3 linked regions of the Macaca fascicularis genome follow. The protein of the gene in region 1 interacts with the protein of each later gene in a pairwise test. Links are inferred from orthologs where the notes say so. Each region holds a gene or a part of one and is shown in the gene's direction. Other genes may lie near its edges. The genes, in order: CDR2, KANSL1 and ZGPAT.

What was found.
Region 2: the proteins of CDR2 (region 1) and KANSL1 interact in binary tests that used the Homo sapiens proteins (3 or more experiments, as listed by UniProt). The two-hybrid records come from large-scale screens. The link is inferred for Macaca fascicularis from reciprocal best matches to the Homo sapiens genes CDR2 and KANSL1.
Region 3: the proteins of CDR2 (region 1) and ZGPAT interact in binary tests that used the Homo sapiens proteins (3 or more experiments, as listed by UniProt). The two-hybrid records come from large-scale screens. The link is inferred for Macaca fascicularis from reciprocal best matches to the Homo sapiens genes CDR2 and ZGPAT.

The regions. Positions count from the first base shown.
Region 1 is NC_088394.1:21,335,712-21,339,357, reverse strand, and holds part of CDR2 (cerebellar degeneration-related protein 2), read left to right. Parts: intron 1-325; coding exon 326-474; intron 475-731; coding exon 732-896; intron 897-2,324; coding exon 2,325-3,183; 3' UTR 3,184-3,646.
Region 2 is NC_088390.1:67,803,213-67,806,958, reverse strand, and holds the start of KANSL1 (KAT8 regulatory NSL complex subunit 1), read left to right. Parts: upstream 1-1,311; 5' UTR 1,312-1,356; intron 1,357-2,886; 5' UTR 2,887-3,020; intron 3,021-3,746. UniProt on the Homo sapiens protein: Non-catalytic component of the NSL histone acetyltransferase complex, a multiprotein complex that mediates histone H4 acetylation at 'Lys-5'- and 'Lys-8' (H4K5ac and H4K8ac) at transcription start sites and promotes transcription initiation.
Region 3 is NC_088384.1:119,823,728-119,827,473, forward strand, and holds the start of ZGPAT (zinc finger CCCH-type with G patch domain-containing protein), read left to right. Parts: upstream 1-1,446; 5' UTR 1,447-1,526; intron 1,527-1,955; 5' UTR 1,956-1,983; coding exon 1,984-2,564; intron 2,565-3,746. Other genes in the region: ARFRP1 (ADP-ribosylation factor-related protein 1), read right to left, coding at 104-191, 452-550, 1,207-1,260. UniProt on the Homo sapiens protein: Transcription repressor that specifically binds the 5'-GGAG[GA]A[GA]A-3' consensus sequence. Represses transcription by recruiting the chromatin multiprotein complex NuRD to target promoters.

The DNA.
Region 1 (3,646 bases):
TCTTGTTGCCCAGGCTGGAGTGCAATGGCGCCATCTCAGCTCATTGCAACCTCTGTCTCCCGGGTTCAAGTAATTTTCCTGCTTCAGCCTCCCAAGTAGCTGGGATTACAGGCATGTGTCACCACACCTGCCTAATTTTTGTATTTTTAGTAGAGACGGGATTTCACCATGTTGGTCAGGCTGGTCTCGAATTCCTGACCTCAGGTGAGCCGTATGTCTCGGCCTCCCAAAGTGCTGGGATTACAGGCATGAGCCACCATGGCCAGCCAAGGAACAGCAGGTATCTTATCTGTTTGTGTCACCTGGTCCTGATCTTCTCTTACAGTATCTGACCAAGCAAGTGGAGCTTCTACGGCAGATGAACGAACAACATGCAAAGGTTTATGAACAATTAGATGTCACAGCAAGGGAACTGGAAGAAACAAATCAAAAACTAGTTGCTGACAGCAAGGCCTCACAGCAAAAGATTCTGAGGTAAATTTTCTAGAATCTGACAAGGAAGGCCTAGAGGGAAGTTCTTTAGTATAAACTAGAATAGAACATGGCTGCAGTGGGTTTAGGTCAATATGGGATAAAGTTTAATTTAATTCTTTCTGGAGAATGGAGATTAAATAGATGTCCTTTCCAATTAAGAAAGCCCAATGTGAGTGGCTCGCATCTAATCTCTCCTCACCGCTTTTGCCCTTGATTCAGTATGACAAGCAGCAATGGCTTCTGTCTGTTCCTTACAGCCTGACTGAAACGATTGAATGCCTGCAAACCAACATTGATCACCTGCAGAGCCAAGTGGAGGAGCTGAAGTCATCTGGCCGAGGGAGAAGGAGCCAGGGGAAGTGTGACCAGGAGAAACCGGCACCCAGCTTTGCATGTCTGAAGGAGCTGTATGATCTCCGCCAGTAAGAGCCTACCTGTCTGTGGAGTTACAGCAGGGACTGTCTCATGTCATTGGCACATTCTGAATTCCAGTAGATTGAAAGTACCATTTTAAGAAATGTCACTTAGCTATTAAGCTACCATTGGTTTTGAACAAAATCACTTAAACATAGAAATTACACAGTTCTTATATATTGGTAATTCTTATTTTGAAAGTCTTAGAGCACTTATTTCAGGGCTTTTAATGTGTTAAATCATAGTTTAAGATGAATGACTTCTGATAGACTATAGAAATATTGGTAAAACAAAAATTCAAGCAAACAAGATTTTTTGCTTAAAGAAGTACCTTTATAATTTAGAGTTACAAGTCTGAATCTTTAAGAAGTATTTGTGGAACACTTGTTGTATGGCAAGCTCTATGCCAGACCTGAGGGCTGGTGAGCAGAATAGAGTTCCTATCCCTGTGAGCTTTCAGTCTAACAGAACGGCAGATAAGCAAATAAAAACACAAATAAATAGTCAAGCAAGGTGCCTTGGACTGAGCAGGAGAAATCAGGTGGTTCATTTGGTGGGTCTTTGGCTGCACATCAGATCACCTGTGGAGTTTTTCAAAATGCAGATACCAACACATTCCCTCAGGCCTAAATCAGAATTTCTGGGTGTGGGTAAAAAGCTGCCCAGGCAATTCTGATGAACATTCCTGGTTAAACACCACAGCAACAGTAATTTGCTGTAGTGATTCAATCGTAATTATGTATTATGAATCATTTGGAGAGCCTTTAGAAACCCTCAGGCCGGGTAGCAGACCAACTAGGTTAGAATCTGTGGGTTGGGACCCAGGCACCAGTACTTTTTAAGGTTTCCCTTGTGAGGTCATTGGCATACTGCCAGTCTTTGGGAATAGATGTTCTTTAGTACTTTCAACATTAAAAAAAGATTCATCGCAAAAACTGAGTTTGCTTTCATGTGTTTATTTACCAGCCTCACACAGTTCCATTTTAGCCACTGCTCCAGTGTGGCTAAAAATCAGTCACTGTCGGCCGGGTGCAGTGGCTCACACCTGTAAATCCCAGCACTTTGGGAGGCCGAGGCAGGAGGATCACCTGAGGTTGGGAGACCAACCAGCCTAACCAACATGGAGAAATCCCGTCTCTACTAAAAATACAAAATTAGCCAGGCATGGTGGCGCATGCCTAAAATCCCACCTACTTGGGAGGCTGAGGCAGGAGAATTGCTTAAACCCGGGAGGCTGAGGTTGCAACGAGCTGAGATCGCTCCACTGCACTCCAGCCTGGCGACAGAGTGAGACTCCATCTCAAAAAAAAAAGAAAAAAAAATCAGTCACTGTCACAGCTCCTCAAATTTATTTAGTTGAAAAAAAATCACCAGTCTTCCTCACTTCATTCTCAGTGGACCTGTGTAATACATTCTTTCAATATTTTTTTCCCTAGACACTTCGTGTATGATCATGTGTTCGCTGAAAAGATCACTTCCTTGCAAAGTCAGCCAAGCCCTGATGAAGAGGAAAATGAGCACTTGAAAAAAACGGTGACAATGTTGCAGGCCCAGCTGAGCCTGGAGCGGCAGAAGCGGGTGACTATGGAGGAGGAATATGGGCTGGTTTTAAAGGAGAACAGTGAACTGGAGCAGCAGCTGGGGGCCACAGGTGCCTACCGAGCACGGGCGCTGGAACTAGAGGCTGAGGTGGCAGAGATGCGACAGATGTTGCAGTCAGAGCATCCATTTGTGAATGGGGTTGAGAAGCTGGTGCCAGACTCTCTGTTTGTTCCTTTCAAAGAACCCAGCCAGAGCCTGCTGGAAGAGATGTTCCTGACTGTGCCGGAACCACACAGAAAGCCTCTCAAGCGCAGCAGCAGTGAGACGATCCTCAGCAGCTTGGCAGGGAGTGACATCGTGAAGGGCCATGAGGAGACCTGCATCAGGAGGGCCAAGGCTGTGAAACAGAGGGGCATCTCCCTTCTGCACGAAGTGGACACACAGTACAGTGCCCTGAAGGTGAAGTATGAAGAGCTGCTGAAGAAGTGCCAACAGGAACAGGACTCCCTGTCACACAAGGCTGTACAGACCTCCAGGGCTCCGGCCAAGGACCTGACTGGAGTGAACGCCCAGTCTGAGCCTGTTGCCAGCGGCTGGGAACTGGCCTCTGTCAACCCAGAGCCCGTCAGTTCCCCTACAACACCTCCAGAATACAAAGCGTTGTTTAAGGAGATCTTTAGTTGCATCAAGAAAACTAAGCAGGAAATAGATGAACAGAGAACAAAATACCGATCACTCTCCTCTCATTCTTAATTGAACCTCTAGCTCTACTACTAATTTGCCTATTGCCTATCACCTCTCTCATTCAGACAAGTGTTTGTAGACTTGGAAGCCTGATGTTGCTTGTGACATTTGCCTCATTGCTTTGCTTATTTAGCAAATGCATACAACGAGGAAAGGAGGTGGCTACTGGTATCAGTTCTCTGATCCACTTCCATTTAAGCTCCCCAGGAAATCCCATGACAAACTGGCCTCTGGCTGGCGCACTGATTAGACTTCAATTCCTGAAAAGGACCAGTGGAGGGAAGAGCTATACTACTGGAGAAGTAGGCCTGGAGTTACTACAGTATGGGGGAGAAGGGCCGAGTTGGCACAAAGCTAAGGCAGTTCCTATTGCTTCCTTGCGCAACTTCTCAAAACGATGTAAAGTCAGAGGGCTGTCAAACTCAAGTATCTTTTGCAAACACTGAATACTGTGAATTCATTAAGAAGAATG
Region 2 (3,746 bases), on another chromosome or scaffold:
GCAATTCTCCCACTTCAGCCTTCCCAGTAGCTGGGATTACAGAGGTGTGCCACTACACTTGGCTAATTTTTTTTGCATTTCTATTAGAGATGGGGTTTCACCATGCTGCCCAGGCTGGTCTGGAACTCCTGACCTCAGGTGATCCACCTGCCTTGGCCTCCCAAAGTGCTGTGATTACAAACATGAGCCACCGCGCCCGTCCTCTCTCATAGTTTTATTGTTCTATTTTCCACAGACCCTTCCTTCCTTAATTTTCATGCCTCTTTAATATTCTGTTTCTTTTACCTCACTGACCTTCTTTTTCGTTCTCCTACCTTTTACCGTGGGTGTCTTATTACCCTGCTTAGGGAGTTTAGCATGTCACAGACCACTATCTTCAGGCAGAGGACCCCACATAGTCTCTAGTCCTCCTGATTGTCTACCCTCTCTCAAGTTCTGTAACTTCAGTTGCCTCTAGGACACCTTCACTGGGTTTTACAAAACCCTGTTACCTGGAACTGAATATATTAAAAGCTAAGATTCCTCCCCAAATCTGCATGTTGTGCCAATTTTCCTGGCCAACTATCTTATCTGTCCCCTGGTTTTGGGACCTTATTTAAACCTTTAAATCAATTTTTAAAAAATTGGAATCTTGATGAATGGTGCAAAAATCAATGGATACAAAGGATACGCCGAGATATGTAAGTCTTCCGCCCACTGGTTCCCTAGGCACTCAGTTCCCCTCCCAGGAGGTAACCACTGTTGCCAGCTCGTAAGAGTGATTTTTGATTCCTTCTTCTGCCGGCTCTATCTCAAGTCCTTCCCTGTCTGTGAGATGTGTGCCCTTTCCTTTCCAGGCCCTAGTGAACTGATATCTGGTTGAATTTATATATAAATATTTATATGTGTATATTTTCTATACATATATAACATCTCTCCCTATGGCCTTCCGGCCTGGAGTTTTCATCACGTCGCTTCCTGGATGAAGGAACCTCGAGGGGTGAGGGGCAGGGGTTGGGGGTGATGGAGAAGAGAACCTAAAGGGGACTTAGGTAGGGGGTTCAGAGTGGCCAACTGGCGTGACGCTCTGGCAGGATTCCTATTCCTATTCCTCCCACCTCAGGCCCGCTTCTAGTCCTCTCATCCAAAAGCCTCTCGTTTCCAAGGGCCGAGACAGAGACAGAGACAGCGAGATACACAGAGACAGAGACGCCGAGGCACCAGCATCCCTCTCCCCCTTCGGTCCCGCCCCATCTCTCTGACGGACACTATCGCTCAGCCAATGGTGCTCACGATATGCCCCTGAAGGGCCAATGAACGCCAGAGGAGGGCGGAAGATTCCCCGCCCCCACTTCTAGGCTTGGTTGAACCGTGCAGGTAGGTCCGGGGCTGGGGGAGCTGTCTTTGGCACTGGTGCCCCTGGGGGTGGGGGCACGAGTGGACAGGGGTGATGGTGAGGTAGAGGCGGCGGCCCCGACACGACGAGCTCGAGGGAGCGGCCCGGCTGGGAGGCGGGGGGCGGCGGGGCCCGGGGAGCGGGCGCCGCCGAGGGCCCTGGAAGCGGCGGGGCTCGGGGAGAGGGACGCGTGTGTGGGGCACGGGGACCCCCGCCCAGCGCCCACTCGTAGGCCTGGGCCGCAGGCTGCCGACCGAGTGGCCGGGGGGCCTGGCTGCCCCGGGGGCGGGCCGGGGCCGCGGCCGGGGGCGCGGAGCGGAGCTCGGGGCGCCAGGCCGAGCCGAGGTGGGACGGACCGACGCGGAGAGGAAGGGAAGCCGCATCCCGCGGGCCGCCCCTCCTGAAGCGAGCCGGGCAACGGCCGCGGGCGCCCCTGCCCTGAGCCCACCCCGCGCTCTCCCCTCCCTAACAATGGGAATGGGGCAGAAGGAGGCGCCCCACTGCGGAGGGGTGAGGGGTAGGTTTGGGACTGGGGTCCGCGGTGGGGGGAGGTGCGATCTCGGGCTCTCGCCTCTCCGCTCCCTCTGGCTCTGGAGTTGGGGGCCCTGGTGGGGCTTTGAAGCCTGCCTGAGACTTGGGTCAGGAGTCAAACTGCCGCCCCCCGCTCCTCCCCCAAAATCCGGTGAGCGGTAAGGAAAGTGATGCCAAGTCTTCGAAGCCTCAGTGACAAACGCATAGCAAGAACACATCCACTCCAGAGGTGTTTATTTTTTATTTTTATTTAAATAAGGGTACTTTTCGACATTTGTTTTTAACGAAGTGGGTGCTGTTATTTTTGTCCCTACGCGGGCAAGCCTCCATTTTAAGCGAAGCAGTAACTGGTTAAGCTGGAATTGTATTCAGGCCCAGGACTTGAACGAGGATCCTACTAGAGGTCATTTAGTCCATCCTCCAGCCTCCAGGCAAATTTACCTTCCTCCTACCCTCAAAATTAAGTTGCTCGGTCTGCTTTTAACGATCTCTGGGGAAGAAGGGTATTTTATTTGTTTCTAGTACTTCAGTCAAGAATAGGTTTTACTTTTCATGTGGAATTGACTCTGAAACTTAAGCATAATCTTGGGACAGTCGGGATGATTAGAGAGGTTTTACTTTACTAAATATAATTAAATGTAGCAAGGGTCTTTTTTTAGATGGTTAGTTAACAAATCACGTTTAGTGTTTATGAGGTACCCTGGAAACTTTATTCTCTCTGGGATTTTGGCTGTTTGATAAGCAATTTTACATTATCTAAAGTAAGTGTTACATATTTATTTCTCTTTTTATATAACGTATGTTTCTACACATATGTACGGAGACACACACACATTTGCCGTTTTCTAAAGGGGACTGTATTTTCTATACTTTTTTAGTGCGATGAGGCAAATAGTACTTCAAAATCTCTGCCCATGTAGCTTAAACTATTTGCATTTTCTTGATTATTTTTTAGTCTAAATGAAAATCCTCTCTTTCAGATACCTTATCGAAACAAAAGATTTTCCTATCTGCTCATACTTGGTAACCGAGGGAATTACTAAGACTTCTTGCTCATTTCTGAGTATTGTCTTTATATCCTGACACTATGAATGCTATTTGGATGCCTCTTAAGGTAAGATGTGTTATTTTTTCATTACCAGCCTCATTTTATTCATTTTTCTTTAGAACTTTGTAATGCTTGTAATTCTTGAATTTGCTATTCTTCAGTTCCTTTACCTGCCATTTCTCTTGCCTCTTGTGTTTGCTTCCTAGGATTGATTGGCTGTACCTTACTTTGCATTGCTACTGTTCTTTGATTATCGGTGTGAACGTTTTAATGAAGTTCTCAAATTAACTTCCATTATAATGAAAGGCAGTGATCTTTTTAACTTTAAATTATGGCAACTTACATAGTTATAAAATTCTGTTCCAATTTTAGGATAGGTTGGCAATTCAGACATCTAGGTCCACTTTTCAAACAGGTACTTTAGAGTCATAGGTACTAGGGTGTGTCCCACTCTTGCAAATCAGTAGCTGATTCATGTGTTACAAAAGATGTGTCATTAACCATTTGTTTACTCTGAAACTGCATATAGTATATTAGAACATTCTAAGACCTGCTGGTTTACACGTATGACTTTTTCAGAGTCCTCCTGCTGCACCCCAGTCCTTTGCGTGACATTTCACACTGTTTTTCTCAACAGGTAGCACTTATGCCAAGTTTATTTCACAGGGTAAACCTCATTTGGACAGTGTGGACAGATGACCTTTAGATGAAAAAGCTCCCATTGATGTGGTGGTTCTCCAGTCTCTTTGGCTTCTCTCATCTTTTATACATAGATGGCCAAAGAACCCTCCA
Region 3 (3,746 bases), on another chromosome or scaffold:
GCCAGCTGGACTGTGAACGTCACGGCATCCTCAAGGCCCCAAACCCACAGCCTGCTATTTAGACCCCTTACTGTTTAGACCCCTTACTGTTTAGACCTCTTACTGTTTAGACCCACGGTGGTGGTGATTTTGGATAGACTCATTCCCTTGTAGTTCTTGTTAAACCGGGTTTTTGACTGTTCCAGGAAGGTCTGAGGAGAGAGGGAGAGGCAGACACATCAAGTAGGGGCTACACTGGCTTCCCAAATATCCTTCCTCAGGCCTGTTCCTTAAGAGAGAAAAACAGAAACAAAGCAACACTCTGCTCTTCAGGAAGCTGGTGGTGACAATCCTGTCGTCTCAGGTGAAATGTGGATTCCATCTGGGTAGTGAACATGCAGCTGACAGCACAAAACCGAAGCGGGGGCCACCCGGCCGTGGGAAAGGTGCGGGCAAGGGAGTGGGCACTCACCGTCTTCCCAGCATTGTCCAGGCCCAGGATCAGGATGCAGTACTCGTCCTTCTGAAACATGTACTTGTACAAGCCCGACAGCAGCGTGTACATCCTGCCCTGGGCGCCCCAACATGTGTCAGTGTGCAGCCGGAACGCAGCTCCCCGCCCCCGGGCTTCTCCACGGTGGTCAGGGGCGCCCCACGTCCAGCTGGCCGCTCAGGACCAGAGCCTGGGGGCCATTCCCGACTCTCCCTCCTCCACCGCACCCCTGCAACTCCTCCCAGGCCGGCCGCCACTCCGTCCTTCCGCTCACAGCAATGACTGCGACCTTTCCGAACCCGCAGCGGCTCCGGTCCCTCCCCTGCTCGCGGGACCACCCAGCCGGGTGTTCGCGGTGAGCTCCGCTGCGCTCCCGCCCTCCCCCGAGGTTTCGCTCCCACGCTTCACGCGCGCGGAACGGGGAACACACTCGCGGCAGCCCCGCCTGGGCCCCCGCGCCCCACCCGGGAGCAGCGAGCCGCCGGCGCGCTCCCCAGGAGCTCCCCAGGGACGCCCCATCAACCCATTTCTTAAAACGGGGACGGCCAGCGGGAAGCGGACTACAGGGCGGGTGCGCAGCGGCCCGGCTGCTCCCGGAGGCGGCGCGCGGCGGGCAGGGAACGACTCCCGCGGAGAAAGAACCCGCGTCGGGGACCCCGGCTACGGCCGCCCCATGCCGCGGCCGCCAGGTTGGAGGCTCGCCGACAAGCAGCCAAAGCTGGTTCCTGTCACACCTGCGTCCCACCTCCAGCTCTGGGCCGCCCCTCGGGCCTCGCGCCCCACCGCATAGCCTGCGGCCTACCTGCGACCGCCGCGACCTCGGAGCCGCCGCTGCTGACCCCCGCTGACCTCCGCTGACCCCGCGCTAACCCCGCGCGGCGCCTGACGGGACGAGAGCCGGCCTCAGGGAAGGAGCTGAAACGCGTCCCGGCGGCCTCCGCGCTCCGCTTCCCGGCTGCCCCCGCGCGCCAGGCACTTCCGGAAGTGGCGGCGCTCGGGAGGAAGTGCTGGTCGGCGGCGGGGACGAAAGGGGGGTGCCGGGCCGCTCTAGCCGGTGAGGCCGGCGGGCTCTCTATGGCGGCGGCTGGGAAACCGCGCGGGGGAGGTTCCCTGCCCGGGGAGAGGGGACCCCGGTTTGCGGGGACGCGGCCTTGGCCAGACTGCAGAGACGCCGGGCGCGGGGGCGGGGCCGGCCTGGAAGGCAGCGGGCGCGGCGGGTGGGCTCGGCGGAGGGCCGGGCGGCGGGGCGCCCCGCGGGGAGGGGGTCTCCGGAGTGACGCGGGACCCGGCTAGCGGCGAGCCCAGGGCGGCTCGGAAGGGAAGCGCGGAGCCTGAGCGGGGGTACCCGGTCTGCGACCTCTGCGCTGGGAGCTGTGCCTCTGAGCCGGTGTCTCCCCGAGGGACAGGGGACGTGCCCGTGCCCTCCCGCAGTCTGTGGGGCCGGTCCCGAGACGCGAGGCTCACCTGGCTTCTCTTCTCGCAGCCCTGGTCCAGCGCCTCCCTCTCTCAGCATGGACGAGGAGAGCCTGGAGTCGGCCTTGCAGACCTACCGTGCGCAGCTGCAGCAGGTGGAGCTGGCCCTGGGCGCCGGCCTGGATTCGTCTGAGCAGGCGGACCTGCGCCAGCTGCAGGGGGACCTGAAGGAGCTCATCGAGCTCACCGAGGCCAGCCTGGTGTCTGTCAGGAAGAGCAAGTTGCTGGCCGCGCTGGACGAAGAGCGCACGGGCCGGGAAGATGCTGAGTACCAGGCTTTCCGGGAGGCCATCACTGAGGCGGTGGAGGCGCCAGCAGCAGCCCCTGAGTCCGGATCAGAGACCGTTCCTAAAGCAGAGGCGGGGCCCGAATCTGCAGCAGGTGGGCAGGAGGAGGAAGAGGGAGAGGACGAGGAAGAGCTGAGTGGGACAAAGGTGAGCGCACCCTACTACAGCTCATGGGGCACTCTGGAGTATCACAACGCCATGGTGGTGGGAGCGGAAGAGGCTGAGGATGGTTCGGCGGGTGTCCGTGTGCTCTACCTGTACCCCACTCACAAGTCTCTGAAGCCGTGCCCGTTCTTCCTGGAGGGAAAGTGCCGCTTCAAGGAGAACTGCAGGTAAAACCCTTTGTTATCAGGATGCCAACCTTGGGGCGTAAGGGGCACGCACACAGGGTCGGGTCAGGGTGGCCCTCCCTTTGCTTTGCAGTTTTGTCTCAGCTTCTTGGGGCAGGCATGCTTTGTGACAGCAGTGTCTGTGTTCAGGCGTCTGCGTCTTTGTTCCGGGGTAAATCAAGAAGCATAGAAGGTGGCCGGGTGCGGTGGCCCACGCCTGTAATCCCAGCACTTTGGGAAGTCAAGGCGGGCAGATCACCTGAGGTCAGGAGTTCAGGACCACGCTGGTCAACATGGTGAAACCCTATCTCTGTTAAAAACACAAAATTCAACTGGTCGTGGTGGCGCGCACCTGTGGTCCTAGCTACTCAGGAGGCTGAGGCAGGAGAATTGGTTGAACCCAGGAGGCCAAGGTTGCAGTGAGCGGAAATGGAGCCACTGTACTCCAGCCTGAGCAACAGTGCAAGGCTTATGTGGAAGAGAATAGGTCTCCAACCTATCGTCATTGTTTTTTTGTTTGGTTGTTGTTTTAATTTTTTTTGAGACAGGGTCTTACTTTGTCAACCAGGCTGGAGTGCAGTGGCGCAGTCCTGGCTTACTGCAGCCTGGACCTCCTGGGCTCAACTGATCTCCTGCCTTAGCGCCCCTAGTAATTGGGGTACAGACTCACACTACCACATCCAGCTAATTTTTGTATTATTATTACTTGTTTATTTATTTATTTTTTGAGATGGAGTCTTGCTCTGTCGCCCAGGCTGGAGTGCAGTGGCGCAATCTCGGCTCACTGCAAGCTCTGCCTCCCGGGTTCAAACAATTCTCCTGCCTCAGCCTCCCTAGTAGCTGGGATTACAGGCACCTGCCACCATACCTGGCTAATTTTTTTGTACTTTTTAGTAGAGACGGGGTTTCACCGTGTTAGCCTGGATGGTCTCAATCTCCTGACCTTGTGATCCGCCCACCTCAGCCTCCCAAAGTGCTGGGATTACAGGCGTGAGACACAGTGCCTGCTTTTTTTTTTTTTTTTTTTGGAGATAGAGTTTCACTCTTGTTGCCCAGGCTGGAGTGCAGTGGCATAGTCTCAGCTTACTGCAACCTCCTTCTCCTGGGTTGAAGTAATTCTCTGCCTCAGTGTCCAGAGTAGCTGGAATTACAGGTGCCCACCACCACGCCCGGCTAATTTTTTGT